Linked DNA regions of Cricetulus griseus. The protein of the gene in region 2 purifies or fractionates together with the protein of the main gene of each other region. This does not show direct contact. Links are inferred from orthologs where the notes say so. Each region holds a gene or a part of one and is shown on either strand. Other genes may lie near its edges. The genes, in order: Dicer1, Raf1, Tcp1, Timm50, Bag2, Calu and Pin1.

Region 1 (4,225 bases), on a different chromosome or scaffold from region 2:
GCAGGCAAACTCCTATCCACATAAAATTAACATTTTGAAATGTTAAAACTGTATTTACTCAATAACTTAATAATTTGACCATCAATTACTGAAGTTGATAAAGTCTAAAAACCTACCTTCATAATTTCTCGGTAAGGGTGGTCTAGAATTGCAAGATGACACTCATCAAACACCAAAAGGTTAATGTCTGACAGTGATAAGTAACCATTTTTCAAAACATTCAAGGCGACATAGCAAGTCATAATGAGAACCTAAAATAAAACTGATATCAGTACACAAATGCCATTAACCTGCCTGGCTATATCTCTACCAAAGACCAGAGTGTCAGTATATGGAAGTGAAGATTATGAAATTCACGGGTCAAAATTAAAGCAAAGAAATTTACATATGTAAAACATAGGAACCAAGATGTAAACAATGACCAGTGATAGTATGGGAAAAGATTATGAGAAAAACGCCTTAGAAAGGGAGACCACGTCCTTATGGTAAGTTACTAAATCTACTTCAGGTTTCCCCAGCCATTGAAATATGAGACCTGTCAACTTAGTCAAAACATAGAAGAATTTACAGAGCTGACAGGGTTTTCTGAAAAATTAAATACTCTTTATACAGCCTATTGTTCTGGAAGGCTTTATTTAAGTAGGTTCATTCTAATATTCGAGAACTACTAGTGGTTAGCAGGCTGTTGGATGTTAGTTACAAAGCAGCCCTCAACCATTGTGTATCTCCCAGTACCACACACAAGAAGCCCTTAGCACATGCTATCTACTGAAAACATGAAGGCAGAGGGAGCCTCCCTCAAAGACCAGGGACCTCAAACAAGGAACTTTCCCAGTTTCAAAATACATTCTCTTCAAGTTCAATAAGTCACAGGTATTTGTGTTTTTCAAGCAAGTAAATAACGGCAGCTGCTCTCTTTTCTACCCTCTGGAGGCAAACACATTAGTAATGTATTGTTCATACTGGTTTCAGATGAACCTTACAGGGAGAGAATGGAAAGGACTGGGAGAATGTCCCTTTCTAGCTTCCTCCATAGCTAAGGCTAACGGGCTTGTAGTGTCTGTACAGTGAAATGTCCCTGCAGGTCTCACCTGGTGCTTAGTAAACTCTTGGCTCCATCTCTCTTTTGTCCAAGATGCATTTACTTCTAGGTTTGAGTACTCCCCAACCTTGAGGTCTGAGTGAGTTCTGACAGCTGAAACTTGTTGAGCAACCTGGTTTGCTGGCCACGAAGAAAACATGCAAATAGGAACAATGTACCCAGTTAGCTTTCTGAACAGTTACAAAAATTATCAGTTATACCTAGCCACCAATTTTTTAAATGGCTAATTTAAAAATCATAGTTCCAAGATCACCCTCTAAAATCATGGATGAGGCCTGCCACTTCCTCTTCCATCACTTCCTCCAGACAACCTCATATCTCCTTCACAGTTGACTTCCTCCATCCTAAAGATCTAAGTCCTTTTCAAACCAGAAGGACACCTACTCGACACCTGTCCCTTCTGCTCTCCTCACTGAAATCAGGTCAATCCACCAAGAAGTCATGTTCAAATCACACAATTATGCTAAGACTGTCTTAAAAAAAACAGAAGGGGAGGTCATTCTGGATTCCCAGGTTATACTTTCATGTCGACAATTCCAAGCATACAGACATTGGTTTAAGACATCAGACACTAAGTCTCCTCAGTAGCTTTAAAGACCCATATAAGTTTCTAAAACTGCTCCAGCTAAAATCGCCCATCAAGTAGGTTCCTATCTCTAGTCAGCCTTCAACCTGCTGTATGGAGTGAACCAAGAATCAAAGTAATTTTAACAATCTAGCCATCTCCCCAGAGCAAACCCCATTAGGAGAAATGCAGAGTCTGAACTATTGAGAAAGATGCTACAGAGAATAAAATAGTGTTTTGGCTAGCAGGGCTTCAGTAAGCTCATTGTTTGCCAAACTCTTTACTTCCAATAATTTAACTTAATACCCACAGAGATAAATACAAAGTCTCATCCAATTTTCTCCTCACATCTGGTAAATGATATTTGATTACCAGAGTTGACGAGGAACACGGTCCTTTTTGCACGTGGGTTGAGGTCGCCCCTGATCTGATGGGCCAGCTCTTTGGTGAGCAGGACCGCGATGAACGTCTTCCCTGAGCCGGTGTTCAAGCAGACAATGGTGTTATGGTCCAGAGCCGCTTCCAGCAGCTCAACCTGAAATATGGGAAAAGACCACACACTTCTTAATGAAGCACCACATATAAGAATTGACTTTTGTTTTAAACATAGAAATTTCCCTGTTTTCTCAAATCTAAATCTGCAGACAACTTTACAAAAAGAAAACCACTGTCTTCACATTTACTCAAGAATAACAGGGGAGTGAAATGGCTGTTATACACAGCTGTGCTGCTGTAAGCATATATTAAAATGGCACTAACAAATTTATTTAAGAATTATTTCTGCACATGTTAGTTACATATAACTGAATCTCCACTAGGTATGTTTCTACCAGCTCAGGGCTGAATACTTTCAAACCAATCTCCATCCCTACCCAGCTCACTAGGACTGATACAGCCAAATGGATATAAAGGAACAGTGAACTTGGGAGGGGATAAGGAACTCACAAACAGAACCAACACAAGTCAATTACCCAGCAGATGTTAGAACAGAAAAGAAAACAAAAAAAAAAATGTTTTAAATAAGAAAATTAATCAGAAGAGGGAGGCTTGAAAGAGTAAATGAGTTTTATAAGTTGTGTCAATTCTATAGTAATTTATTCTATTTTAGTGAAAAATGCTCCAGTATTAGTGGTTTCATTAGTACCTGGTATTTTCTTGGCGTATAAATGTTATCATGAATTGCTTCTTGTTGCCATGGCAGTCCAAAGAAAGGACCCATTGGTGAGGAAGCAGGGGTCATGAGCTGCAGGCCTGCCATGCTGAGGGGCTGCAAAGCAGGGCTTTTCATTCATCCAGTGTTTCTTTCATTGCATTTTGTTCTAGCACAGCTTACTACAAAAGGGAAAAAGAATACCATTACACAACCATGCAGGGTTAAAACAAAAGAAAGCACAGGAACAAGAATGACATCAGACTACTGCTCCAGAGAGCCTTTTCAATTCTTTCTGTGGTTGGTTTGGTCTCTCTTGAGATCTAAGAGGATGGTTTTAAAAGTCAAGCAGTCTATACTCAACCTGGCAATTATACCTAGAAGCTTTTCTAAAGAATGAACCAAACAACTGTACAAATATAAACACATCAGTCTGTATTGTTACATTACTGGAAGACAAGAAGTAGCTTTAAAACTAGTAGAAAACCATAGTAACTGTAGCTATCTAAAGGTATTGTCAAATAATGTAAAGGAATTCTTTAAAATTATTCACATTCTCATGGGTCTATATTTATTGGCAAAGAGCAAAGTCTACTGATGCCTTGTTAAACATATACCTACATGTAAAGTACAAACATACAAAAACATACTCTCTCTAAGTTCTCTAATATGCTGACAAAATAAGGAGCCAGCATACACGCAGGCACTAAAGGTGCAAACACCCGACCTGGTTAAATCACATTAGTAAAAGGGGTGTTTTGCTTAACTGGCAATCTGCAACTACACAGCTAAAACTATCCTTAGACATACATGTTTAAAATTATACATATCCTGATAAACTAAACACATGACATTTTCTAAATGGAAATTCTTCTATGACATCTAAGCACTCTCCCATTTTCATACATTCTTTTCCAGAAGTAAATTTCATTATGTAAGCTGGTAAAATAAAAATTGATCTTTTAAAAGTTTTCTGTGTGCGTACACACATGTATGTTTATGTGTATGCTGGTGTGTGCAAGTGTAGAGGTCACAGGTCAACAATTGGATGTCCGTCTCCAGCACATTCATTTTTTGAAGCAGGGGCAGCCTTGCAGAGCACTGTCTTCTGAGCATAACAGCCACCATTCTCACCAGGACAGCTGTGACTACGTTTAAAACAACCCCAAAGCAGATCCTGCTGAGTGATGGCTTTCCCTCAGAGGAGGAGCAGGCAACGAGAGTCAGTGAATACTTACCTGGAATTCCAGCTGCTCCCCCTACACTTCCTGCCGTGTGTGTGGAATCCTGATCTAATTGCACATGGCCTCATGGCCTCAGGAGGTCTAGAGTGGAAAATTAACAGAAGAGGGGACTCCAATGGAGTCTATGTAGCTATAGGAAGCTGCCATCCATGCTGGGAAGAGAA
Region 2 (3,734 bases):
ATGTTGCTCTCCAGGATGAGGGGATGGAAACAGCACAAGCTCTACTTTCTGCTTTCTCAGAACAACATGCAGCATTGACCACTTGCAACCCAGTTAAGGAAAGAAAAAGCCCTTGGATTTCCATGTCCCATTTCTTTTCCTTGACAAACCAGTGTCAGCAACTATTTGATAGACAATGGGTCCTACCCGTTTCTGGTATCAACTTAGCTAGACTAACTGGCCAGCAAGCCCAGGGACAGCCCTGTCCCCATTGTCACGAATGAGATTACAGGCATGTGGCACAGGCCCAGCTTTTATGTCAGTGATCAAACACAACCCTCATGCTTAAAGTAAGCACTTCAGTGAGTCATCTCCCAGTTCCCTGCCTGTTTATTTTAGTTAGGCCGCCATACTAAAATTAGCTAATTTTAGAACTATTGTGCTTCTAAAGTAGTTAGTTTCTGATTCACAGTAATTATTTAACAAAGCTAAAACTCAAGACTTAACAATTAAAAATGTATAATGAACATCATCTAAAGTGTTTCTGCCCCTGATCCTGAATTTTTACAGGAATAAAACCAAATGCCTTACAAGAGCTGTCTGATATTACTCCAGTCCACACACATAGTAGGTACTTTGGTGCTACAGTGCTCATGAAACTTGTAGCCACAAGTCTGACACCGAAATCCATTTAGCAGGAACTTTTGACAGATGTCACAGAATGCAAGCTTCAGGAACGTTTTCCGAGCCTGTAACAAGAAAGCAGGTATAAAATTACAATAATGCAAGAGAAGAACCAACAAGGTGCTTTCTCCACTGGCCCCATAAGAGTTTCCCACAGTGAAGAATCATACTTCCAACACTGTCAAATTCAGAAACGGAAGGCCTCTAGAGGGACCTCTGTTAATGGACTCTAAACTGACCACTGTCCATGACTGCATAGGGAGAACTGAAAGCAGCTAACAATACACAAGTCTAGTACTTCTCAGAAAGGTCAACCATGCACAGAAAAGAGCCCAAAATGGCAGAGAAAGCCAGGCACTGAAACTTACAAAGTTGTGAGTTGTGAGTGGAACATGATCCAAGAAATCCACTTGCAGTTCTTCTCCAATCAGAGAGGCAGCGTCGGTGTTCCAGTCTAAGCGTGCTTTCTTACTAAAAATTACCCAAAACATAATATGAGGGAACAATGTCGGAAGCTCAGCACATAGAGCTTCTACTGCAGGCTGTCTGAGCACACCTAACAGATGCTCCAGTCCCACCCTAGAAATAAGCCAACTGGGGCCCTGAAGAGTCATTGCCCACAGAGTAACAAGGTCTGTTGGAATCCAAGTCTGTTGGACTCCAAAGTTTATACTCCTAGAACAAAGTTTCCTTTGAACAATGAAATAAAACAATCTCATGACAAGGGTAACTATGTCTTTAAGGGGACTGTGTAACATTAAAATCCTACCAAAATCCCAAGATCCCATAAAGTAAGGTGCAGTCACTACAAGGCTCGTTTAGTGCTCAACAGCTACTTCAATCTAAATGTCCATAAACATGACTCAAACAGGGATGTCCTTTCCATTAGTTACTGACTCAAAGTTGTTTGTAGAAGTTATAAAACGTCTATGGGAGACAAAAATGGTCTTTAAAATTGACTGACAGCAGTGCTTTTGTGCCCAGAACAAGCAAGACAGGACATCACATTGATTTATGGAAAAGCTGTTAAGTTCAGTTAATCTGTCCCATTTGTGGAGAATGAACATTCCCAGTTAAGAAGGAATGTAACACACACAACATCAGTCAAAACCCTCTATCCCCTGCCAGAGGCCAACAAACCACTCTTCTGGTTACCCAGCAGGCAATAATCCATTCCTTAAGACAATTCCCTCTGCAAGAAAGGGAGAATGGTATCTGTCTAGAGTACTGCTTTGTCTTAATGAGGACTAGGAAGGAAGCCCCGCTGTTTGAACACAAGTAGGAGCTGTCTGTTCTGAAGGAAACTGAGATCAGTTCCTAATCACACAACTTTGGAGAAGAGTGGACCAAGCCTGTCTCAGAATCTCCCAAGTCATAAAGGAAGTCTATGGATCAGCTTGGGCACCAACATGGGGATAAAGCCAGATAAAGGGGATGGCGTGTTAGCAGAGGAAGAGACAGGTTCTCTCCAGCCAGGGAACTCAGAGCCACAAAGAGAACATGCAGCAGGTTAGTGGCAGGTGCACTGCTCCCCAGAGAGGGCAAAGTCAAAGGTTTCCCCAGGTTTGTCTGACAGAGCATGAATGACAAGACCTTCTCTTTAGGGCTGCAATGAGTGGGAACTTGAAAATGTTATCCTTCAAGTTCCATCTACCTTGTTTTTTTTTAGACAACTTCTCTTACTGGAGCTCACTGATTAGGTTAAACTGGTCAGAACGCTTCAATGACCTGCCTGCCTCTGCCTCCAGGTGCACCACCATAGCCAGAGTTTTATGTCAGTTCTGGCAATTAGAAGGCAAGGCAAGCACTATACTGAATAGGGTATTTCTTCGGGCCAAAGACAGTGTTCTTTAAAAAGAAAAATTTATTATTATTAATTTATGTAAATTTATTATTTATGTATTTTTATGTTATTTGTGTATCTCTGAGTGCATATATGTGCAACGCATATGTGAGGGTGCCCTTGGAGACCAGAAGAGGGCATCAGATCCTCTGGAGCTGGTCTACAATCTGTTGTGAACCACCGGAGTGCTGGGAATTGAACCTGAGTTCTCTGCAAAAGCAGCAAGCACTCTTAATGAGCTTAACTATAAAAAGCAATGCAGACATTTTCAGAGTACCCACTCTTATGACAAACACCAGGAACATTCTTTGCACTCAAAAACATGCCTTTTAACAATTCCACTTCCATCCCTGAACACACTATGAGCATCTCCTATGCAGTGTAGTTTTCAAAACAATGTCCAGGCAATAATTTCAAATTCTCAGTAAGCAAATTTTTCTGAATTGATCCTTTAAAAACAAAAGTATACACATATACTAATCCCTAGGAATCAAAAAGAAAGCATTGTTCACAAGTTATTTGAGGCTAGGAAATCCTTACTATTCGAAAAGGTACACTCTTACCCTTTGTGTTCCTGGAGAAGTCTGAACACTGCACAACACTCTGGCTGCAGACCCCTCACCTTGAGAGCTTTCATAAGGCAGTCGTGCAAGCTCATTCCATTCCGCACATTGACCTGCAAAAAGATAAGCTTTAGTACCAACGCAAGCTACAGCGTCCCTTGCAAAGATGTGCACTGAATTAAACACATCCATCTGTAAACTAGTATAGATTTATGACATACTGTTTGCAATGGTATCTAGCAGTAAATGCAAGCAAATGAACACAGATCGTCACATCAGCATGGGGCACATTGTGCATCTCCTGTATTGCCTGGGACAGTAGTCTATGACATGGTAACTAGAGGAAAATACTTTTATTAGAACAATACAAGAGTAAGACTATTTAAAAGTGGTGAAACCAATACATTTTTCTTATATTGTATGATTTGGAACCATGTATGTGTTGCTATTAACAACAGAGTTGGTAATCGGGGACCAGTGAGATGACCCAGCAGGGAAAGATACTTGTTGCCAAGCCTGACAACATAAGCTCCATTCCTGGGACCAATATTGTGGAATACAGACTTCCAGAAGTTATCCATTCTCTGGCCTCTAACAACTGCATACACACACACACATACACACACACACACACCCCACACGCATGCACGCACACACCAAAAAAT
Region 3 (4,252 bases), on a different chromosome or scaffold from region 2:
AGAGGTTTTGCGTTTCACCACATCCAACACGCTGTGAAATATCGGGCGATGGTTTTATGTTCAGCCATTTCATATAGGGGGGAAGACACTGAAAAGCCCTCCCCCTTCAGATCATGGCACCTTTCATCTATCCCATAAGCATAGCCACTATAATCTACTGGGAGAAAACGTGGTAGTCAACTGGGAAAACAGAGGTACACTGGGCTGAATATTTCAATACTACCACCCAAATGCTAAGACAGAACATTGCCAACTAATGATTAATCACAACATTAAGACAGACTACAACCATTACAGGAAATAACATTTTCTTTCAATATAATCTTACTTGCAGGCAAGCCGATAGCCACTAATAACTGATGTTGGATGAATTTTCTGTTTGACTAGTTCATCTGCATTTTTCAGAAGCTCCGCTGCAATAATTACCTGTTGATTAAACACTGCTTTAAGTTTTCATGTCATTCAATATGCACAATGCATACAGGAAAACATCAAAATTATCTAATATTGTTATTTTTATCTTATTTACTTATTTGTTCAAGACAGGGTTTCCTTGTGTAGCCCTGGCTATCCTGAAACTCAGAGATCCACCTTCCACTGTCTCCCAACTGCTGGAATTAAAGGCATGCACCACAATGTCCAGCTATGACCTAGCATTACTAACCAGCCACAGCAGACAAGTAGCAGCTTGCTGAAAACATAAAATGGAGAACACCACAAAGTAGTCTGTGCAAATGGTCCAAGCTACAAACACCAGAAATTTCTACTCTGAATTCCCAAATTTCCTGTCTATGGTTAAAATCCAAAACTATCCATTAGTTTTGAACAACAAAGAAGCCGAAACCTGGTAACATTTTCTTTAAATGAGAAACTCTTTTCTACATGTAAACATTATCATGGCAAGGGGGTTGAAAATAAGCATCCAAATTCCCAGTATTTAAAATAAGCTTATATTCAACTACCTTATATGATTTTTCTCCTACTCAAACTGCACAAAGTAGGTGCAATGATTAGTTTTCAAATGTTTATGAGACCATAAACACCTGACATATCTAGAGTAAAGGATTCTTTCATGGGTTCAACTCTAATAAACGGGCTTATTCTCTAGCCACTCCCAGGTAGTGCCTCACCACAGAGGTAGTTCCATCTCCCACTTCTTTGTCTTGCAAGTCAGCCAGCTCACAAAGAACTTTAGCTGCAGGGTGTTCTACCTCCAGTAACTTCAGGATGGTGGCCCCATCGTTGGTAATGGTTACATCCTGAGAAATATGAAGGAAGTGGGTCAACACAGAAACCAAGCTCCACGAGGCAAGGCCACCAAGAACAGTGAGATATACTTACACCAATGTCATCCACCAACATTTTATCCAAGCCAACTGGCCCCAGAGAACTTTTCACAATGTTGGCAATGGAAGCTGCAGCCATAACTGAAGATAGAACAATGGGCGAAAAATTAGAACAATTCACAAGCTAAGAGACACCAAGCCAACTATGATTTTCTTAAACCTACCAATCTGCAATAATTACGATTTTTGGGGAATTAAAAAAATAAAAACACACCTATTTAAGGACTAGTGACTCCAAAGCAATACCGAGAAACCCTGTCTTGAAAAACCAAAAAAAGGACTAGTGAAGGTTAACTATTTTTTTTTTCTTTTCAGAACAGGGTTTCTCTGTTTAACAGCCATGACTATCCTGGAACTAGGTCTGTAGCCCAGGTTGGCCTCGAACTCAGAGACCCACCTGCCTCTGCCTCCCAAGTGAGTGCTGGGATTAAAGGTGTGTGCCACCATGGCCGGGCTAGGTTAACTTTTTTGAGTACTGGAATGTCACAAAGAGGTCAATGCCTCAAAAAATAAGTAATCCCTTATGTGCATTGGTGTAAAGGTGTCAGATCTCCTGGAAATACAGTTAACAGACAGTTGTGAGGGGCTCTGTGGGTGCTGGGAATTGAACTCGGGTCTTCTGGAAGAGCAGCCAGTGTTTTTACTGGTGAGCTATCTCTCCAGCCAGCAAGAAAAATTTCAGGGTTAACATCTCAGCCTTTTCTTCAGACTCTAGCATGTTTTAATAAGAATAGTAGTCCATCTCGGTAGTAACTGTATTTCGGGGGGAGGGGGCACCTTAACAACAACAAAAAAGCACAATCACGATCGGAAAACGTTAAGTGCTTTAAAAAAAAAAAAACAGGTTCAACTACCAGCAAACACGTGTTATTTCGCCTATCGTTCAATTTGCAAACCGTTAAGTATTCCTGGGAGCAGCTATCAACTGAAAGACAACCGGCCGGAGGGAAGCCACGCAAAGACGACCACCTACATTCTGTGGGCATGTTCTCCTGGGCAAATGGAACGGGTGGAAACTACTCCTCTCTGGTCGTGTCCGGGATGTTCCAACCCGGTTAGAACCAGGACAAAGGGACCGTTGAGGCGTGGCGGGCGATCAGGTCTGGAGCTAGCCTTCCGGGGTAGCGCAGTCCCCACTCGGGGCGTGGACGCCCACACCCACCCTGGGCACCTCCCAAAACGGGCTTTCGCGTGCCGTGCTCCAACGTTCTTCCCAGGGCCGAAGGGCGCCATGGCGCCGGCTGGGCCCGCGGGTGAGGTCCGCACTGGGCCCGGGCCTCCACGGGGACTTCGCTGTGCCGAGGGGGAAGCCCCGGCCTAGCGACCGCAGTCGGGCCTCGGCCTGGGCCGCGGGCCTGGCGCAGGATTCTCGCGCCCTTACCATTCTGGGAGCGGATCGCCTCTCCAGTGCTGCGGTCCCCGAACACGGACAAAGGGCCCTCCATCGTTAGGGAACCTGGCTGGCCTCGCTAACACCGCGGACGGCCGGGATATCCGCTCAGAGGCCGGACTGCGGCCACCACAGCGGGGAACGCGGACGGCGTGGAGAGAGAGGCCCGAGCGACGCCGCACGGGATGCTGGGTACCAAGCCCCGCCCGCTTTCCAAGCTCCGCTAACCGCTAGGCCCGCTGGGAAAAAGAGGATGGGCGAGACTGAAGACGCCGGAACTGGAGGGGGGGTGGGTCTACAATTTATTTATCCAATTAGAGGCTGGACGAGAAAGGCGCGGAAGTGAGGAACCGAAGTTGGGCCGCGGGAGGAGTGGGGCGGCGCTCGTGCGTTCTCGCGCCTTCTAGAGAAGCTGATAGGGTTGTGGTGGGAGGCGGGCTACGGACCCTAGCTCCCAGGTACGGCTGGGAGCTCGCGCGCCTTTCATCTCTGAGCTCCGGTCATAGTTAGGAGTCAGGGAGCATTCGGAGAGTCAGCTGAGACTCCGTCCAGGCTCAGCGAGGTTTGGGGTCTGCAGCTGGGCGACCACTGCCTGGGGTCACGCATGCCGCAGGGACGGACTTCCGAGAAAAGAGCTACGCGAGCGTGCCCCGCCCCCCGCCTCGACGTCAGCGGTGGTTGGCGAAGCGGAGATACCGATCGCTTATTCGGCCACTCAGTACAAGGGAGCTTGTTGTTCCGGGTCCCGGAGTGACCGACGACCTGCTGGCATCTGTAGCTTTTCCCCCAGTTAACATGGCTGCCGCTAGTCGTTCTCCCTGACGACCGTGAGCAAAGCAAGGCCGGGTACTGGGAGGCTTTGCCTACGTCCCATCGGCGATGGCGCTTCAGCCGCGGGTCTGGAAATGGCTGTCAGTTTGCGGGAAGCTGGGTAATTAATCTCGCCCCGCGTCGTTGCCTGCTCGCTGTGCACAGTATATGGGAATTTGCAAATCCAATTTTGCACCCGAGGTTCCGCTTGCGGAAGCGAACGCACTAGCCGCTCCCGGGGTGACCGTGGGACGTTATGGGTCGGTGGTGATAACCTTGGTCAGACGGCCATTTCTACCCGCTTCTGGGCCTTGTGATGGGAATGGTTAGAGCACGCCCCTCTGGCGCCCGTATTAGTCGTTTTAAACATCCACGTGGTCGTTTTCATTTCCTAGAGTGTGGGTTCGCAGCCCGCTCGACCAGTTCCTCGCCAGCGATTCAGCCCGAAGTGGAGACTAAGGAAAACGAAGCTGTGGCCCCAGTGTTCACCAACCGGAACCCTCGGAATCTGGAGCTCTTAGGGGTAGCCAGGAAAGAACGGGGCTGGGCTACAGTGTGGCCCAACCGTGAGTTCTGGCACAGGTAATTAATTTGTGACTGACCCTGCCAGATAAGCCCAAGGTTAAATTGGGAAGAAAACTTTAAAGTTAATTTGAGAATAAGAGATTATGTATTGTTCCCTCTCTGAAGAGGTGACATGTCAAAA
Region 4 (4,405 bases), on a different chromosome or scaffold from region 2:
AGCCAGCACTCTACCACTGGGCTGTCTCCAGCCCTGCAGTCTTATCTTGAACGCTGACAGCAGTGAACCCAGGATTGTTTCAGCAAGTCTGATAACTCAGGCGCAGGAATGAGCGCCCTAACAGAATTAGGCTTTGTACCTTGGTCTTTTCCATATTTGATAGGCCCAAGTCTTCACAAAGGGTAGGCATATGACTCAAATCACAGCACTTGGGACAGGGCAGGAGGATCAGTCTTCCTCGGGTGCATAGGTCAGCCTCAGCTACATGAGACCCTGTCTCAAAAAAAAAACAAAAAACCAAAAGCTGGTGAGATTGGTCTGTGGGTGAAGGCACTTGGACTCCTTTAATCCCAGCACTAGGGGAGTTAGGGGCAGGTGGATCTCTATGAGTTCTAGCCAGCCTGGTCTACATAGACCCTGTCTCGAAATAAAACTAATTTTAAAAATTCAGACATAACATGAAGTCCTATGTCCCCTGTACCCACTTACAGTATGTAAGGCCAACAGGAACTCACCGTGTCAAGGAAGTGTCCTAACCACTGACTTTGGAAACATGTCCTCCAAGTCAACCATAAGGGAGACAGCCTTGGTTCAAATGAGCCAGGTTTGATTTCCGGACCCCCAGGGTGGAAGGAGAGAGCCGTCCTCCACACCCTGTGGCACAAGGGCGCACACACTCAAACACACATGTAACTTAACAGAACCCCAATCTCTTTCTTCTTTTTTTGTTTTGTTTTTGAGACAGGGTTTCTCTCTGTAGCTTTGGAGCCTATCTTGGCACTGGCTCTGGAGACCAGGCTGGCCTCGAACTCACAGAGATCCGCCTGCCTCTGCCTCCCGAGTGCTGGGATTAAAGGCGTGCGCCACCAGTGCCCGGCCCCAATCCATTTCTTTCCACCCCAGAAATAACCATTTCTCTGAATTCCTTTACCCAACTTTGTATTTTTTTACTATCTTAGTACTTTTTTTTAAAAAAGATTAAATGTAGGGGCTGGAGAGATGGCTCAGCGGTTAAGGGCACTGCCTGCTCTTCCAGAGGTCCTGAGTTCAATTCCCAGCAACCACATGGTGGCTCACAACCATCCGTTATGAGATCTGGTGCCCTCTTCTGGCACGCACTGTATACATGATAAATAAATAAATAAATCTTAAAAAAAAAAGTTTCAATGTAAAAACCTGGCTTTTCCACCATTAAAAACAACTTGGGGGACATTCCTGGTGTCTTCCTGTACCCCAGATTCACTGATTTCTTATTCAGTCTTCAGTCAGCACGCACTGTTCCTATGGGTGAGTGAAGGAAGCCAAGTGAGTGATACGATCTCCAGCCCTTTCGAGAAACACATGGTAGAAGGGGTTAAAAAGTGATCTGGAGACGCGAGAGAAGACCGCTTCAGCGTGGGGGGAAAAAAGAAAAAAAAAAAAAAAAAAAGCGAGGGCTGCCGGTTGAGCTCGCTTTTTGAGCATCTGTCCATCTCTCACGCCTATGTCCCAGCGACTGGGCGGCGGCGGAGGTCCTTAGGGCAGGCACCAGGGGGGCGTGGTGACAGATGGCCCCATTCCAGTTCAGCGTGCTCCGCGGGCGCGGGGGCGAGGGCACTGACAGCCCCGGACTAGCGGTCCGCGGAGAGCGCAGCCGGGGAGGGGGACTCCGCCCACACCTTTTTGTCCCGCTCGCCTTCCCGTCCACACGCCGCACCTCAGCCTCCCCATTGGCCGCGGTCCCCGCCCGGGGGGCGGGAGCGAGCCGGCGAGTGGGCGGGGCCGCGCGGCGTCAGCGCAAGATGGCGGCGTCGGCGGCGTCGGCGGCGCTGCTCTCGCGCTTGCGGAGCGGGCTCCGGGTCGGCGCGCGGGGACTGTGCACGCGGCTAGCGCCGCCGCCTCCTCCCCGCGCCCCAGAGCAGGTGAGTCGGCCCCGGGGACCCCGCCCGACCCGGGGCTTCCCCCCCCCCCCCGTCAGGCTCGGGCCGTCCGGAACTCCGCGTCCCGGGCGCTCACCGTCCCCGAGCCCGCTTTCCCGGCGCCCCCGAGCCTCCCGGGAGCACCACGCCTGCCGCCCGCTCGCCCGCCCGCCCGCCGGGCTGGGGCGCGGCGGGCCCCCCGGTGCATCCTCCGGAGCCCGCGTCCCAGCCTCGTGGCTGCCGGGAGGTCACCCTCGCCTGATGCCGGCGCGGGAGCGGCCCGCCCGGGACGCCGGGGTCCCAGGCCGGCCGGGGGAGGGCGGGACGGGCGGCGTCCGCCTCGGGGGCGGCGAGCCGGGAAGGCTGGCCGGAGACAGCCGTCCTGAGCTCCAGGCGAGAGAGATCGCCTCGCCTCGCCCCGATCTCTTGGGTTTCCCACCCCTCCCTCTGCGGCCCGGGATGTCCGGGTGTCTTAACCGCTCCTCCCGTCCCTTGGGTGCCCTCCGGCTCCCTGGTTTTGCTCTCCCCGCCAGCCCTGACTCTCCCTGCCCTGCTCGCCCTGGCTCCAGACCCTGCTGCAGTCCTGTTGCTTTCAGGATCCCGGGCAGCCCCGCCTGTCAGCCCTCGAACCCCTGTGATCCTCCGGACACAGTTTTATAGTTTTGCCCCTCTGCGGGGACCAACTTTTCCACTCAGCCCTTCCAGGGACACGTTTTTCTGGGGCTCTGTGTATGTCCACGTCCCTCGATCTTGACTCTACTTGGACCGAGTTAGAGGTCAGAGAGAGCCTCCTGCTGTTTTCCTCTTAGCTGACCTCGCCTCCTCCCCTCCGCTCAGGTTGCTGAGATCGCCAGTCGTGGAGGCTCCAAGGCCCAGGGGCCGCAGCATCAGCCAGGCTCAGAAGGTCCCAGCTATGCCAAAAAAGTTGCACTCTGGCTTGCTGGTTTGCTTGGGGCCAGTGGGACTGTCAGCATCGTCTATATCTTTGGTGAGAGACATACCCCTGGCTTGCTGGCCCCCAGATTTCTACTGGGAAACCTCCCCTTCTTTCCTCAAACTGTTCATTCCCTGGCTCCTCCCTCAATAGGGCCTTCAACGGGGATACTCACCTTGAAACTCAACAAGTCCCCTTCTACCCCTTGTACTTAATTAAAGTTCTAGCCTCTAGTTGGTCCCTGTCCCTCCTGAAGTCAGGAACTAAGGGGACAATGGGAAGAATAGGGCTGGCCCAGTGTCTGAAGCTATGTCTTGTGTCTCCCTTCAGCAGCAAAAGCCTAACCTTCCCCTTGTGTGTAATCTCAGACTCGGACCACTTTCTCTCTCTCTCTCTCTCTCTCTCTCTCTCTCTCTCTCTCTCTCTCCCCCTCTCTTTCCTCTCTCTCTCTCTCTCTCTCTCTCTCTCTCTCTCTCTCTTTTTTCAGACAGGATTTCTCTGTGTAAATTTCTCTGTGTAACAGCCCTGGCTGTCCTGGGAACTCAGTTTGTAGACCAGGTCACAGAGATCTACCTGCTCTGCCTCCTGAGTGCTAGGATTAAAGGCATTCATCACCATGCCTGGCTAGCCCACCTTCTCTTAAATATATTGGAATCCTGCCCCTTCTCCCCCCATTCTCTTCCTCCCTTAATCCAGGAGCTGTGCCTCTAGCAACATCCCCTCTGACGGGGTTGTCCAAACCCCTCACTTCCTAACCCTTCCAGACCCAGCAGATTAGACTCCAAGTTTCTCTCATCCGTCTCTGTCTCCCTTGCAGGAAACAACTCGGTGGATGAAAATGGCACCAAGGTGAGGGGCGTTAGACCCAGAGGTGCTAGGGTGGGTTGCTTTTGGTTGGTTCAGGCTCCTTTCTAGTCTGAAATGAGCCCCTCCGCCCCTCCCTCCCTCCCTCCCTCCCTCCCCGGGACCTTTGCCTACTGAGCCTGGAGCTCCTTGAGTGGATGTCCTGGGACCCCTCTGCCAACCCAAACCTTTGCTTTTCTCTCTCAGATCCCTGATGAATTCGACAATGGTGAGTGATTTAACAGATTTGGGAGTCCCTGGTGTCCCCATCTCTGCTATTTTGTTTTGTTTGGAGTGCCAGTTCCTCTGTCCTGTACCCCAGCCCCTCCTCCTCCATGGAGGTTCAACAATTAGATGCTTGGGGGGGCGGGACATAACAAAAGCCCCTCAGCCTGGAGCAGATGGTCAGGAACAGATGGGGGCAGGGGGCCGCAGCAGTCCCTCCCAGATACCGGCTTCCCGGGCCTTAGATCTGGGCATCTGTGGCCCCTGAGTGTTTATGACAGCCTCTTTTTTGTTTGTTTAAAAATCCTTAAGTCCCTATCCCACCCCATGCCTCATTTCTAAAACAATGCCTCTCAGTGTCTGTGCCCTGCCCCTTCTCCAAACATACCCCAGGTTCAGCAGAGTTTGGTGAGGACTTCTGATAAACTAGGTAGTAGAGTAGCTGTGAATTTTAGCTGACCCTTCCTGACAGAAAGTGAAGTTATTGGGTCCACAGAGCCCCCTG
Region 5 (4,259 bases), on a different chromosome or scaffold from region 2:
ATGAAAAGTGTTCTTTTAAATTACAGACTATTACTCCAATTAAATATGGTGTCGACTTGCTTTGTGAGTCCTGGGACACTGGGACATCCTGACAGGAACCTTAAGCAGTAAGAAACCAAAGCAGCGGACAGTGCATTTCCTTGGCCCTGGCGACAACATCATTTCCTGCCTGGGTGGACTGGAAAGAACTACTCCCTATGGGACCATTTGGGAAGTGTACGGACAGCCGACCTCCCAGTCCTACCTATCATTCATTCCTCCTCTGCCAATCCCCGAGACCCAGCTGCTTTATCACCCACAGCTTCTAGAAGCTACTCAATACTTGGCACGTACTGGGTGCTCAATATTTACTCAATTAAATGCTAAATTGATTTTTCTTTTAGTAAAAGCACGTTCTTATGCCAACTGGACAGTTTGAAAAATGATATATTCAACACTAAGACACATGGTGTTTGATCTGAGCAGCCCCTCTTCCTGTGTTCAAACGTGGAGTCCACAGCTCTTGGCTGCAACTTGAGGCATGTCGTTTATATCTGAGCTTCAATTTCTCATCTGTAGAATACAGATAATGGTAACTCCCACAGAGGCATGAGGCCTAGCATGCAGATAGATGCTAACATGTATTATTTATAAACTAGGATAAACATTAAAAAGTAATAAGTAAGCCATCTAGCCACGAAGGGCGCAGAATCCCATAGAACTGGTCGCAAAAATCAAGAAAGGACAGGGTTACCTCTTTAGAGGAGCTGTAGTAGAAAATATTTTTTTTAATGTCAGATAGTGTAGTTAATATTATAAACTAATAGAAACGAACGACAATCCACTAACAGCTTGTAAAACAGGGCTGAACATTTTAAAGCATTTTAGGCAATCCCAGAGGTCAGTTCAGCCTCCAGGATATAAAGCCTTTGATGTGGTTTCAGTTTCAGAAGAAAAAGTGACTTCCACTGTCAATAGAATCCACACAACTGACTGGAAAATGCATACTATCTACAAACCAGGGTTTTACAGCACCAAATCCACAGCCTTGCTAATATTTGTATACAAGGAAGCTAGTATCGGGAAATCACACAAGCTTCATCTTTCCTCTATCATCCATATTTAAAAATTTTGTTTTGTTTTATTTTGTTTTTTTTTAAGACAGGGTTTCTCAGTAACTATGAAGCCAGTCCTGGAACTCACTGTGTAGACCAGGCTGGCCTCAAATTCACAGATATCCACCTGCTTCTACCTCCCGAGTGCTGGGATTAGAGGTGTGTGCCACCACTGCCCAGCTAAAAGTCTAAATTTTTAATAGTGCAGTGCCCTGTGTCAAAGTGGCTTCTAAAAAGGAGCCCCATGCCTTGAGCCATTAAACACACATTAAACTCTCCCTCTCAGCAAATAGTTAAAGTATCAATTAATCACATATGTGCAACAGTCAGAATTCCTTTTACATTAACCAAACATTAGACTGCAACACCAAACCCAAGGCTTTCAGGAACCCCCTCCACCCCCCTACCCAGCACTAGGGAGGCATTAATTCAGGTTTCAGGACAGTGACTCAGCTAAAGAAGAGTAACAACTTCCTAAACCCTTTCAAGGAGAAAAAAATCTGAGCAGTTGAGAATATACTGTCCAAGTTCAGTGCCTACTTTGTAGAGGGAAGCATTCCCTCTCCTCAGAAGGGCTTGAAAGCTGAGGTCCCTTTGTCTCACTCCGGGCTGGGGACTGTATGGTTAAGGCTTCTCTTGTGGCTACTCAGGAAATTGTGAAAAAAATTTCTCACCGTCTGGATCTCTGCTCCTAATAGTAATAATAACAAATGCCTCATTTGTAACAATGCTGCTTGTGGTAGTTTTCTGTGCAAACATCCTCCCGTTTGTTTGTTTGGTGGACGAATGGAAGGAGATTAGGCACACAAGACTCTTATGATTTTGCTCATATTCTTTTGCTTATGCAGAACCTGGAGAAAACTAGGGAACAAAATGTTCGCAGTTCCAGAAGACCCAGGGTGCCTTGATAAGATTTTCATGGAACAACACCTGCACACAATCAAGACTTGCACAACTTCGGAGACATTAACCAGATAGGTAAGATCTCAAATTGCTGTAGGCAACAAAGTATTTACAGCATTTGCTAGTATTTACTATTTAGAAATTTTACTACAACACCGATCCTGCGATAGAATCTCAGGCAGAGTGTGACTCGTACCTTTTCAGGCCTGTGGCTGGCACTTCCTAGGTGTCATCAGTATCTTCTAAATGCACAACAGATACAGACCGAATGCGGAGGGCATTGCACGTGGTTAAGAAAATGAAAGAACGCATCCAACTTTGCCACCCACAACGGCCACTCGTGGGTCTAATTCTCGCTGGTCGCGGGAGGTGCAGTCTGGAATTTTCCTTACTCTTGTGTTACTATGAAGTGGTTTGGGGCAAAGAAACTTACTACAATGGGAAGGTGGGAGGGAGAGACCCCACTAAGCTGCTGCCTCCCTCCAAAGAGCATTACTGGAAACGTGGAAGTTAGAGGCAGCGGGGACCACACACAAGGTTCTGGAAGTTGGGCAGGCCGCGCGCGCTCGCCCGGGGAGTGGAGCCCACCCGAGGCGCCCCCGCCTGCACGCTCACCCGCCCGCCCGCCCTCACCTGAGCTCCAGCTGGTCCAGGCTCTCCAGCAGGCGACTGGAGCGGTCTGCCATGGACGAGGAGCGACAGAAGCGACCCTCGTGGGCCTTGGCGCTGATCTTCGCCTGGGCCATGAGCTCCGGGGGTCCGGGGCGTCCGCGGGCAGCAGTGGCGCGGGCCGCACGTCGCCGTCACCGCGGGCGCCGCTGACGCGGACGGCACCGCCCCCGAGGCCGCGCGGCCAAACAAGGGCAGGCGCGGGCGCAGCCGCCAGCACTCGGGTGGGGGACCCTGTCCCGGTGCCCGTCGCCAGCCTCCCACCGGGCTGCCGGCTCGCCGATGGCTTCTGATGTTTGTCCCAACACCCACAATTCACAGCAGGGACAAAATCGTGCGGCCCGTGACGTGGGAGAAAAGATCCCCTGGTGTAGCGTTAAGACAATTGAGTGCGCCTTAGGGGCAGTCTCTACTTGCCCGACCTGCCGGGTTACCAGGCAGGCTCCTAAGAGGACAGGGAGAGCCTGGGCAACACTGTGCTCCAAATAAGGAAAAGCCAAGTGCATTTATACTGTCTCGCCTTTCTAATGAAAGGTTATTACTTTCACACCCAACTTATTGAAATCCTCCGTGAATAATATTCAATAGGCTCCTGCAGAGGTCACTAAGAGGTGGAGTAGGGTTGAAATACAAAGCCATGTCTGGTTAGAGTTGTGTTTTGTCCTCTCGGTGCACAGAAAATGAGAAACTTGGATTTACAACCTTGAATCAGAACTCAAAGCCATTTGATGACTTAACAGAGTCAAGTCCCTTAAGCACAGCTGGCTTCCAGGTCCTCCACCACCATCACCACCCGCCCCATCCCCAACTCATTTTACATAATAAGGAACAGTAGGTTATCTGGCTTCATTAAACATTGTCATTTCATGACACAAATGTGAAATTTGAACGTTTTGTGAATGTCTTGAAAAATCGAAGCTTGCGCTCATCTCAGGTCTAATGCCAGCTCATCTGGATGTTGATAAAGGATTGTGTCTCTCGGGCCAGAGTGAGTTCAAAGGCCAGGCGGGGTTGCTTTGCCAAGAGCTAAAAATCTCAAAAAGTATAAGGGGCTGTAGACGTAGCTCGGTGGTATAGCATCTGCCTTTGTCCTAGGTTAGCAACTAAACAAGGCAGATGTCATGGATTCAGTGTCTTATGCTCTCTGGCATCTGGTCCTCAGTTGGCTGTTTGGGAACGATTATGTGTGGTCTTGCTGGAGGAAGTATGTCACTCTGGGCATGTTGCAGAAGACTAGCCATTCCCAGTGTGTCTCTGCCTCCTCCTTGGGTTCCAGATGAGTGCTCAGAACCTGTCCTTGATGCCATCGTGACTCTGACCCTCTGTAGCTGAGCCCAATTAAATGATGTTTTGCTTTGTTTTTTGAGACAGGGTTTTTCTGTAGCTTTGGAACCTGTCCTGGAACTCCCTCTGTAGACCAGGCTGGTCTGGAACTCACAGAGATCTGCCTGCCTCTGCCTCCTGAGTACTGGGATCAAAGGCAAGTGCCACCACCGCGGGGCTTAAATGATTTATAAGTTGCCTTGGTCATGGTGTTTTATCCCAGCAAAAGGAACTAATATAGCAGATATCTTCAAAGTAACCATTTTATTT
Region 6 (4,444 bases), on a different chromosome or scaffold from region 2:
AACTAAGTGTGTCATCAGGTAATATCTGAGGGCTATAAGGAAGGTTTCCCCACTTTGCTGTAACCCATTCTCTGGTGAATAGTTTCTTTGTTCTGTAAGTATAAAAACTTCATCAAACTGTTGCTATACTGGTATTTGGAATTTGGGGTAACCTAATCTGGTCTCCTGGTCGTGGCCACTCACATTTGGCTCCAGAATAAACTCTCTTTGAGGTGACAGTTGTGTTCTGAGTTGATGGTTTAAGGGTCCCAAACAGGAGTTGTTAGCCTTTTCCCATCTTAAACTAATTTGCTTTCTTAAGTTTTTCATGAGCTTCATGCGCTACTCATTCTATATGTGATGAAAATATAGTAGCCCTCAATGAACATGCTTTAATTTCACGACACTGAGTAGGTTATGCTATAGATTAGTGGTAGACTAGAGTCCTGGGCAAAGTCTAGGTTCAAACTCTCCCTGTCCACTCCTTTCCCCCCCCCCGACCCCCCCCCAAAAAAAACCCCAGATTGCTAATTTCCTGCTCTTCTCTTCAATCAGGGGCCTGCGACGCAATGGATTTTTTTCTATTCAGTTCATTTAGTATTACTGAATGCATTGGGGACTGGTCTGTAAGCTGGGAGCTCCTGATATATAAGTTCAGCGGATCCTATTCCAGACACTTGGTCTAATCGCATACACAATGATAATCACCGTTTTGTTTTGTTTTGTTTTAGCAAAATCTGGCTGTGCACTGAAAATGCAAACTGCTAGGAAATGGACCAGGAAAGATGCCTAGAGCTAGCACCTGAGTAGGCCCTGGTAGTTTCACTACCTGCCCAGCTTCCACTAAGACATTTCAGGACAGCAACCTGTTTCATGAGTAGCGGCTTTCAGTAGCTGGAAAATCCAGAAAACATACTTCTTTCATGCAGATGAAGCCGCTTTGTGAGCAAAGACCACAAGGATATGAAATGTAAGGCTCTCAGGGAAGGCGCGGATCACGATGGACTGGGCAGAGGTGCGAAGGAGCGTGGTGGGTGGAGAACGAAGCCGAAAGGTACACGTTGGCAGGGCGGAGATCTGCTAGTACATCAACCGGGACCCTCAAGAGTCAGAAGCTGGGCTGGGTCCCCGCGGGTGGTGACGTTACTCGGGTATCAATCCGGCCCCGGGGGCTGGAGCTCAGGAAGAAAGCTACCACAACAATCCTGGAGGCCCTGGGAGGCCGAGTCGAGCGTCGTGAATGCGGACGTGGCGGTCCGGGGGCCGTGGTCAGCGGGCCGCGCCCACACGCCCAAGAGCAGAGAACTGGGGCTCGGCGTCCCCACAGGATGGGCGACCCGGACTGGGCGGGAATCCGGTCCACGCAACTCGGCGCGCTCGCGGGGACGTGGCGCTTTCAAGCCAATCACGGCCGCGCGACGGCGGGACCAATGGGCACGCGGAAGAGAGACGCATCAGCAGCGGTCTTGCTGGCGATTGGCGGAGAAGCCGCCGACGAGACGGATGGGGGCGGGGCAAGGAGCCACTTCCGGCTGGGAGGCGCTTGTACGCGGGAGCTGCTCCTCTGAGCGAGCTGCGGCCACGGTGTCCTGCGGCGTGGAGCTCCGGAGAAAGGTGAGCCCCGTGGTGCTCGGCGGGTCCCCGCGCACCCTTATTCTGCCCGTCGGCCTTGTCCCTCATGCGGGGCGGGTCTTCCTCATTCCGGCCTCGGTGTGCGCGGGTGGGCCCGAGACTGCTCTCGGTCTCCGTCCCGCAGACTTGGGCTCCAGGGCCCCGCGCCCTCCTGGCCACCGTTTTGTGTCTGGCTTCGTGCGTCCTTGTTCTCCGCCCCGGCTGCCTCCACTCACTGTCCCTGGGGCTAGAGGGTCACTTTTGTTTGTTTCCTGAAGGTCGGAGAGAATTGGGTAGAATTTCCATCAGCTCCCCGCCACCTTTCCCAGGCCTGCTGGGAGCCGCCACCCCGCCCCAAGGCCACATCCCATGAGTGGGTTGCAAGTGCCAAGAAAGAAAGCGCTTGCTGTCTTACAGGGTGTAGGAAGGTGGGGAACAAAACGAATGATAACGATGTCATTATTTGGGGGGAAAAAAGTCTCTTGTTAATTGGAAAGGGACGTCGCACTTTTCTGTTTTTTGGCTGAATATAGTCATTAATGGAAAGCAGTTTTCGCACGTTAATTAGAGTTAATTACCTTTAAATAATCATGTTTTTTGCTTGTCTTTTCCCAAGTGCTAGTTCTGATTTTGGGCATGCAGTATTCCGAAGTGAACATAATTCCCTATAGTTGCTGTAATTAACACTGATTTGTATCTTGTAAAGTTTCTTTTGCATGAGTGGGACAATTCCTTGGGTTGCTGCTACACCTTTTGTGTCTTCGATCCAAATTCCTAAGTGTAGAAAGCCCTGGAACAGGATTTTTTGAGAATTGTATTCACTTCCTATAATGGACTATCAAGTCAGCATTAATAAATTGGGAATAATGACACTCAGGTTTATTTAATTAAGCATGAATGGCTGATAAATTCTTTGCTATACCCGGAAGCCGACCCAAGACAAATTAAATCTAACCTCATTCAGTTAGATTTAAGTGTCAAGCGGTAGTCACCACTGAAGAACTTACCGAAGTCCAAAGGAGGGACCAGAGATAACCTGTAACTATTTGCATGAAAGGCAGTCTGTGTGGTCCTAATCTGAGTTTTGCAGTGTTTCAAGGGTCTGTAACAGGATATTCTGTAGAATCAAAAGTAGGAGTTATGATCTCATGAAAAAGCTGAATTATGTGTGAGTTAATGGTATTCATCTCAGTGTCATTCTCTGTCTCTGTTTGGTGCCATTCATCCAGTGATATGTTACATGTACCATTGATAGAGTTTTATGTCATTGCCTCAGTGCAGGAAACTAGTGTGTTAGTATTAGCCCAAATTTCTTGTAACATTGATGTGCTGGCTGTTTCAGGGATAGCCAGGAATAGTCATGGGAAATGCATGATTAAGATACTGGATTCTCTCTCTATGAATTTTTGTTTGTTTATGGGTTTGTTGTTTGTGTGTGAGAGAAAAGGTCTCACTACATAGCTGTGACTGGCCAGGACCTCACTGTGTAGACCAGGTTGTTCTAGAACTCATAGAGATCTGCCCATCTCTGCCTCCTGAATGCTGAGATGAAAAGAGTGCACCACCACCCCCAGCTTTTCTGTGAACTCCTAGATGTGAATGCCATTATGCTGTAACATGTATTGGGATTAAACAGTTGAAATAACACAAATTGTTTAAATTACATTTATTTATGGCAATGGGCATACACATGCCATGGGCATGCTTGTGGGAGTCTTGAGAGATGATGTGTGGGAATCCATTCTCACCTTCCACCGTGGGTTCTGGGGTCCAATTCAAGTTGTTGGGCTTGGTGGCAAGTGCATTTACTGGCTGAACCATCTTGCCAGCCCCTGAAATCACATATTTGCCTATACATGGCATTTGGCCAGATCCATTAATAGGAATTGGGAGTTGGAAAGCACAGCAAAACCATGTTGCTAAATGTCATCCAATTCATTCAATAAAATATATTGGTTTCTAAAAATACAACACTTTGTAAGGAGCTGTAGAGATAATTTTTTTAAAGAAGAAAATTGTTTTAAAGTTCCACAATCCAGAATAATTGTGGAATCTCTCAGAATTAATGTTTCTGAAGGGCTGAATTTAATATAGACATCTAAGCTGCCAGAAAGGATGGGTGAGGCTAGTGCTAAAAAGTTAGAATTTTCAATAAAATATTTTCTGAAACAGGGTACATGTATTAATTTATAGCACTTCTAAATGCAGAAATTGTTTTAAAGTTGCAGAATCTGGTGGGTGTGGTGGCAAATGCCTGGAACCCTAGCATTTGGAAAGCCCACGTGGCAGGATTGTCTCAACCTATCGGATATTTGGGCAGCATAGCAAATTTGGGGCCAGTGTGAGACACAGTGAGATCCTCTTAGCTCCCCCCCCCCAAAAAAAAAGGATGGAATTGAGGTGGCTCAGCCACTGAAAATGTTTGCTGCCGAGCTTGACAGCCTGAGTTTCATATCCAGTATATACATACATGGTGCAAGGCGAGAACCAATTTCCCAGAGTTTTCTGACCTCAGCCCTTATATGATCACATGCACACACACACACATGAATAAATGTTAAAAAGAAATAAAAAATAGAGCCATCCAGGAAACTGAAGAATAGCAGTATGGCTTGTGCTTGTTGTGGATTAATACAAACAAGAAGTGCAAACTTCTTCCAACTGGAGTTGGAGTTACCAACCATAGTAGCTAGATCTTTTCATATAAGATCTTGTTTGATTCCTTTTTTTTTCATCTCAGAATTTAAAATTATTTAGGTAAGATTAAGCTAAAGTATTAAATTCTCAAAAACTTAGTCATGTTAAACATATTTAAGAGAATCCACTAATAGACATCAAAGCTTTTTTTCTGTAT
Region 7 (3,734 bases), on a different chromosome or scaffold from region 2:
ATCCTTGAATAATCTACAAGGGGCTAGGCATAACTGCAGCTGCCCTGGGAGTCTAGCTAGTGGGAAGATTTCTTGCCAGCACCCCAGGCCCTGAAAAGGCAGCTTCTTAGGGCTTGAGAACAGTTTGGACACCTGGGTTTGGGGTGTGATGGGTGACAGTTCCTCCCCTGAGACAGGAACCCCACACCCCATCAGGAAGGTAATGAGATACAGTACCACCAGCCAGTGGTTCCAGATTTAATGGAAGGCGCATGGGGCGCTGCACCACACCCTGAGGCTGAGTTGCTGCATCGCCAGGTGTGGAGTGTCTGCTTTTTGCAACTGAACAGAGGAATGGAGCATAAAACTAACAAGAAACAAGGCCCTCCTGCCTGCCTCTGGGACCTAGGGGGAGGGGTCAGGTCACCTCTGACCCACTAAGCCTGAGGGCCTCCACACCCCCACTGCCCTTCTGAAGTTAATTCCTTCAGAAGGAGCCTGGCTAGGGCAGCCCCAACTGGGGGCAAACAGGGAAAAGGAAGCTCAGAGTCCTTATCTCAGAGCCCCCTCCCAGCCATTTTAGGAATAATAAATACTGTGTGACAGTAGCAGGAAGGGGCGTCCATGGACTGCTTGGCAGCCTGAGTAGGCCGGCCAGTTGCCTGTCCTCATTCTGTGCGCAGGATGATATGGATGCCCGAATCTGTGAACACTGGCCCACTCATCTCCCCTGTCCGTAGAGCAAACGATGCATCCTCAAACGGTTTCTGCATCTGACCTGTGTGAAACAGCAGAGGTGGTGGGGGTCAGGCGCGAGTTGCACAGAGATGGGGCTCCTGCCTGCACCTAGTCTCAAGCATATTCATCACAGGGTTTATGGCCCTGTCACCCTGCACTGCTGAGCTGTAGCCCAGCTGAGGGCCACAGGCCCATTAGGAGGCTCTGGGAAGCCCAAGGACAGCATGAGGAATGGCAGGCAGTGCTGTGCTGTGCATTTAGACACACTGCATGATGAACTCTCTTGGTTCCCAGCTGAACACCATCTGTCCTGCAGGTAGCTTGGGCTGCCAGCAGAGGGCCTCGCTAGGCTCCCTCTCCCAGGCAGGTGCCAACACTTAGAACTCCCAGCCCACAACAAGGAGATGAAGGAGAGAAGGGAGGAGGAAGGGATCCTGATTTCCTCTGCCCTTGGAAGACATTCTGAGCTCTGTCTGGGTCACCAACTGGACCTGACCTTGCCTTGCCTGCCCATTTTCCCCACCTGCCAAAGGGAAGAACATGATTCTCAGGGGTCTTGTCCTATAGCTAGATGCCAATGACAGAACAGAGTCACCTTGATGGGCCGGTGAGGGGGACAATGATCCTGAAGGGAAGATACCAGGGAGGTTTTACATCCCTTTAGCAGCACAAAAAACACAGGCCAGGAAGCCTGAGGGCTGTGCTGCCACCTGGTGGATTAGGAAGGCACAGAGTAGGGTTTCTCCCCCTTCGTGGGCCCAACCACCCCCAACACTATAGGGAAGGGGCTGAGTGTAGCGGTACCCACTCTTGCCTACCTCTGCTGAAGGCACCCAGGTCTCCCCTGGCTTTGGCAGAGCTGCAATCGCTGAACTGTGAGGCCAGAGATTCAAAGTCTTCTTCTCCTGACTTAATCTTCTGGATGTAGCCTGCAGGGACACAAGGGGAGAGCCCTAAGTCAGAGAGACACAGGGGCCAGCCAGGATGCAGGGAGAACAAGGCACTCCCAGGAGCTGGGCCAGGCCTGGCCTGTGCACCATGCTCCCTATAAAGACATGCTGCTGCCTTTCTGTTGTAAGACTTCCCACCCCCTCATGCCTAAGCAATCACACCTGTGTCCTTATCATGTGCGCACATGAAGACAGTCCTCCCACATGCATGACCCCAGGGTGCAAACCTGTCTGCCATCCCCATGCACCTATGGCCCTACTATGTATGACCTTAGTAACCAAGCTAGTCACCCACAGATGCCCAAGAATATAAGGACCCCTCCAGACACACAGTGACCTCTTTTCAGCCCTGGACACAAACAGTTGGAACCTCACAGCAGATGACTGCCCACCCCTAGTCCTGGGGCAGTCTCAAGGCTCTGGAGACCACAGGTGGCTAGCATACAGCCAAGCTCTGCATAGGAGCTGGTGACATCCTCAGCTGTGGGCCTCAGGAGTCCCCACCTGTGCAACATGGAGGCACAGAAGAGCTCTCACTAGGACATTTTGATGAGAACCTGAGGTGAGGCTGTAAGGGATGTGTGTGAGCGCCTGCACAGTTGTCCCACAGGCAAGCCACACAACAGGTACCACAGGGTATTGGCAGAGCTCAGGAGGTATTAAAGCATCTCTACTGGGCTGTGACTCCCTGCAGGGTTAGGAGGTCAGGGCTGCTGGGAGGAAAGTGAATGATGAATGAAGCAAAGTCTCAAAATAACAAAGTCATGTGTCACAAAATCTGACTGAGTTCTATCCCCAGAACCCACAACAGTAGAAGGAGAGAACCAACTCCTGTAAGTTGTCCTCTAACCTTCAAACACACATGCCAATCACCAAACCCTACCCAAACAAAATGACACAAACAAACAACAGAATGTAAAGGACCTAGGCTCAGGGGAGTGAAACACAGCACCAGGTCTGTATGACTAATGTCTCAGGAGCAGGGTGCACAGACATGCAGATGCATGGGAAACTGCTATGCTCACACAGACACCTGCTAGATTGGGAGTTGCCAGGCACCTGAGTCCAGGCAGTGCCTGAGATGAGCATGCCTGCAGTAGCATGCCTGCGTGCATACAAATAAATGAGAGTAAAAGAAAAAAGAATTGAATTGGTTAATGGGAGCTCTCACTTCAGAGGGTTATTTGTGGCATGAATGAGTGACTGCCATAGTCAAGGCTAATGCACAAGTCATTGCTCTGCTAAAGGCTGCATGATAAAGTCCCAATGTTCGCTGTAAAGAAGCCCTGGTTCCTGGTAAGACTGTCCTTGGAGATAAGGAGTCTACAAGGATGGGCCCTGAAATGATAAGTACCTGTTCATAAAAAAGTTTTAGCTCAGCTGGCAGAGTGCTCGCCTTTCTGCACCAGGCCCTAGGATCAATTTCCAAACTAGGGATGGTAGTGCAAACCTAGAATCCCAGCACTTAGGAGCTAGGTGGACAGGTTAGAAGTTCAAGGTCACCTTTGGCTACACAGGGAGTTTAAGGTCAGCCTGGGCAGCATAAGTTCTATTATTAAAGGAGGCAGATGGGGCGAGCAAAGATAGCCAAGGGGCAGGGCACCAAAGGACACAACAGAAGACAAGAAAAGCAATCTCAGCAGGAACCTGATGGGGAAAGTGAGAAAGGCACAGGTCTGTGGTGGCTGGTGAGAGGGAATCTAGAGGAAAAGCATGGGGCATAGACTTTTCCAGAACTGGGACTCAAAGAAACTTCTGTCACCTAAGCTACCGAGCTTGTGGCACTGTGTTACAGCGACTAAGGGACAGAATGAACCAAAAGGATGTTTCCTCATCCTAAAAGTGTTTAGACAATCCCCTTGCCCATCTCCCAGTTCACAGGTGGCCATAAGGGAAGAGACTGGTTATGGAAGAGGTAGTAACATCATTGGATATGCTATCCTAGAAGACCCAAGACCCAGCAGGAGGGGCCCAGAAACCCAGCCACAGGCCATCAGGCTGGCTGGGCACCACTCCACCAGAGGAGACAGCTGATCCTTGAAGCCTGGGGAGGGTGCTGCATGTACT

What was found.
Region 1: the proteins of Raf1 (region 2) and Dicer1 purify together in Homo sapiens (affinity purification with mass spectrometry; 3 studies listed by BioGRID and IntAct, with this or other methods). This does not show direct contact. The link is inferred for Cricetulus griseus from reciprocal best matches to the Homo sapiens genes RAF1 and DICER1.
Region 3: the proteins of Raf1 (region 2) and Tcp1 purify together in Homo sapiens (affinity purification with mass spectrometry; 3 studies listed by BioGRID and IntAct, with this or other methods). This does not show direct contact. The link is inferred for Cricetulus griseus from reciprocal best matches to the Homo sapiens genes RAF1 and TCP1.
Region 4: the proteins of Raf1 (region 2) and Timm50 purify together in Homo sapiens (affinity purification with mass spectrometry; 4 studies listed by BioGRID and IntAct, with this or other methods). This does not show direct contact. The link is inferred for Cricetulus griseus from reciprocal best matches to the Homo sapiens genes RAF1 and TIMM50.
Region 5: the proteins of Raf1 (region 2) and Bag2 purify together in Homo sapiens (co-immunoprecipitation; 3 studies listed by BioGRID and IntAct, with this or other methods). This does not show direct contact. The link is inferred for Cricetulus griseus from reciprocal best matches to the Homo sapiens genes RAF1 and BAG2.
Region 6: the proteins of Raf1 (region 2) and Calu purify together in Homo sapiens (affinity purification with mass spectrometry; 3 studies listed by BioGRID and IntAct, with this or other methods). This does not show direct contact. The link is inferred for Cricetulus griseus from reciprocal best matches to the Homo sapiens genes RAF1 and CALU.
Region 7: the proteins of Raf1 (region 2) and Pin1 purify together in Homo sapiens (co-immunoprecipitation; 3 studies listed by BioGRID and IntAct, with this or other methods). This does not show direct contact. The link is inferred for Cricetulus griseus from reciprocal best matches to the Homo sapiens genes RAF1 and PIN1.

Annotation. Positions count from the first base shown.
Region 1 is NC_048598.1:190,294,668-190,298,892, reverse strand, and holds the start of Dicer1 (endoribonuclease Dicer), read right to left. Parts: upstream 2,997-4,225; 5' UTR 2,956-2,996; coding exon 2,812-2,955; intron 2,203-2,811; coding exon 2,040-2,202; intron 1,223-2,039; coding exon 1,092-1,222; intron 252-1,091; coding exon 117-251; intron 1-116. UniProt on the Homo sapiens protein: Double-stranded RNA (dsRNA) endoribonuclease playing a central role in short dsRNA-mediated post-transcriptional gene silencing.
Region 2 is NC_048601.1:29,206,728-29,210,461, reverse strand, and holds part of Raf1 (RAF proto-oncogene serine/threonine-protein kinase), read right to left. Parts: intron 3,183-3,734; coding exon 3,070-3,182; intron 1,135-3,069; coding exon 1,032-1,134; intron 729-1,031; coding exon 571-728; intron 1-570. UniProt on the Homo sapiens protein: Serine/threonine-protein kinase that acts as a regulatory link between the membrane-associated Ras GTPases and the MAPK/ERK cascade, and this critical regulatory link functions as a switch determining cell fate decisions including proliferation, differentiation, apoptosis, survival and oncogenic transformation.
Region 3 is NC_048595.1:288,143,826-288,148,077, forward strand, and holds the start of Tcp1 (T-complex protein 1 subunit alpha), read right to left. Parts: upstream 2,880-4,252; 5' UTR 2,792-2,879; coding exon 2,728-2,791; intron 1,428-2,727; coding exon 1,342-1,427; intron 1,260-1,341; coding exon 1,131-1,259; intron 427-1,130; coding exon 329-426; intron 189-328; exon of another isoform or gene 51-188; intron 1-50. Other genes in the region: Mrpl18 (39S ribosomal protein L18, mitochondrial), read left to right, coding at 3,616-3,667, 3,942-4,128. UniProt on the Homo sapiens protein: Component of the chaperonin-containing T-complex (TRiC), a molecular chaperone complex that assists the folding of actin, tubulin and other proteins upon ATP hydrolysis.
Region 4 is NC_048602.1:7,569,910-7,574,314, forward strand, and holds the start of Timm50 (mitochondrial import inner membrane translocase subunit TIM50), read left to right. Parts: upstream 1-1,547; coding exon 1,548-1,901; intron 1,902-2,735; coding exon 2,736-2,886; intron 2,887-3,649; coding exon 3,650-3,681; intron 3,682-3,882; coding exon 3,883-3,904; intron 3,905-4,405. UniProt on the Homo sapiens protein: Essential component of the TIM23 complex, a complex that mediates the translocation of transit peptide-containing proteins across the mitochondrial inner membrane. Has some phosphatase activity in vitro; however such activity may not be relevant in vivo.
Region 5 is NW_023276807.1:14,227,117-14,231,375, reverse strand, and holds the start of Bag2 (BAG family molecular chaperone regulator 2), read right to left. Parts: upstream 2,815-4,259; 5' UTR 2,744-2,814; coding exon 2,631-2,743; intron 1-2,630. UniProt on the Homo sapiens protein: Co-chaperone for HSP70 and HSC70 chaperone proteins. Acts as a nucleotide-exchange factor (NEF) promoting the release of ADP from the HSP70 and HSC70 proteins thereby triggering client/substrate protein release.
Region 6 is NW_023276806.1:198,471,982-198,476,425, reverse strand, and holds the start of Calu (calumenin), read left to right. Parts: upstream 1-1,459; 5' UTR 1,460-1,593; intron 1,594-4,444. UniProt on the Homo sapiens protein: Involved in regulation of vitamin K-dependent carboxylation of multiple N-terminal glutamate residues. Seems to inhibit gamma-carboxylase GGCX. Binds 7 calcium ions with a low affinity.
Region 7 is NC_048597.1:133,541,945-133,545,678, reverse strand, and holds the end of Pin1 (peptidyl-prolyl cis-trans isomerase NIMA-interacting 1), read right to left. Parts: intron 1,647-3,734; coding exon 1,536-1,646; intron 758-1,535; coding exon 648-757; 3' UTR 222-647; downstream 1-221. UniProt on the Homo sapiens protein: Peptidyl-prolyl cis/trans isomerase (PPIase) that binds to and isomerizes specific phosphorylated Ser/Thr-Pro (pSer/Thr-Pro) motifs.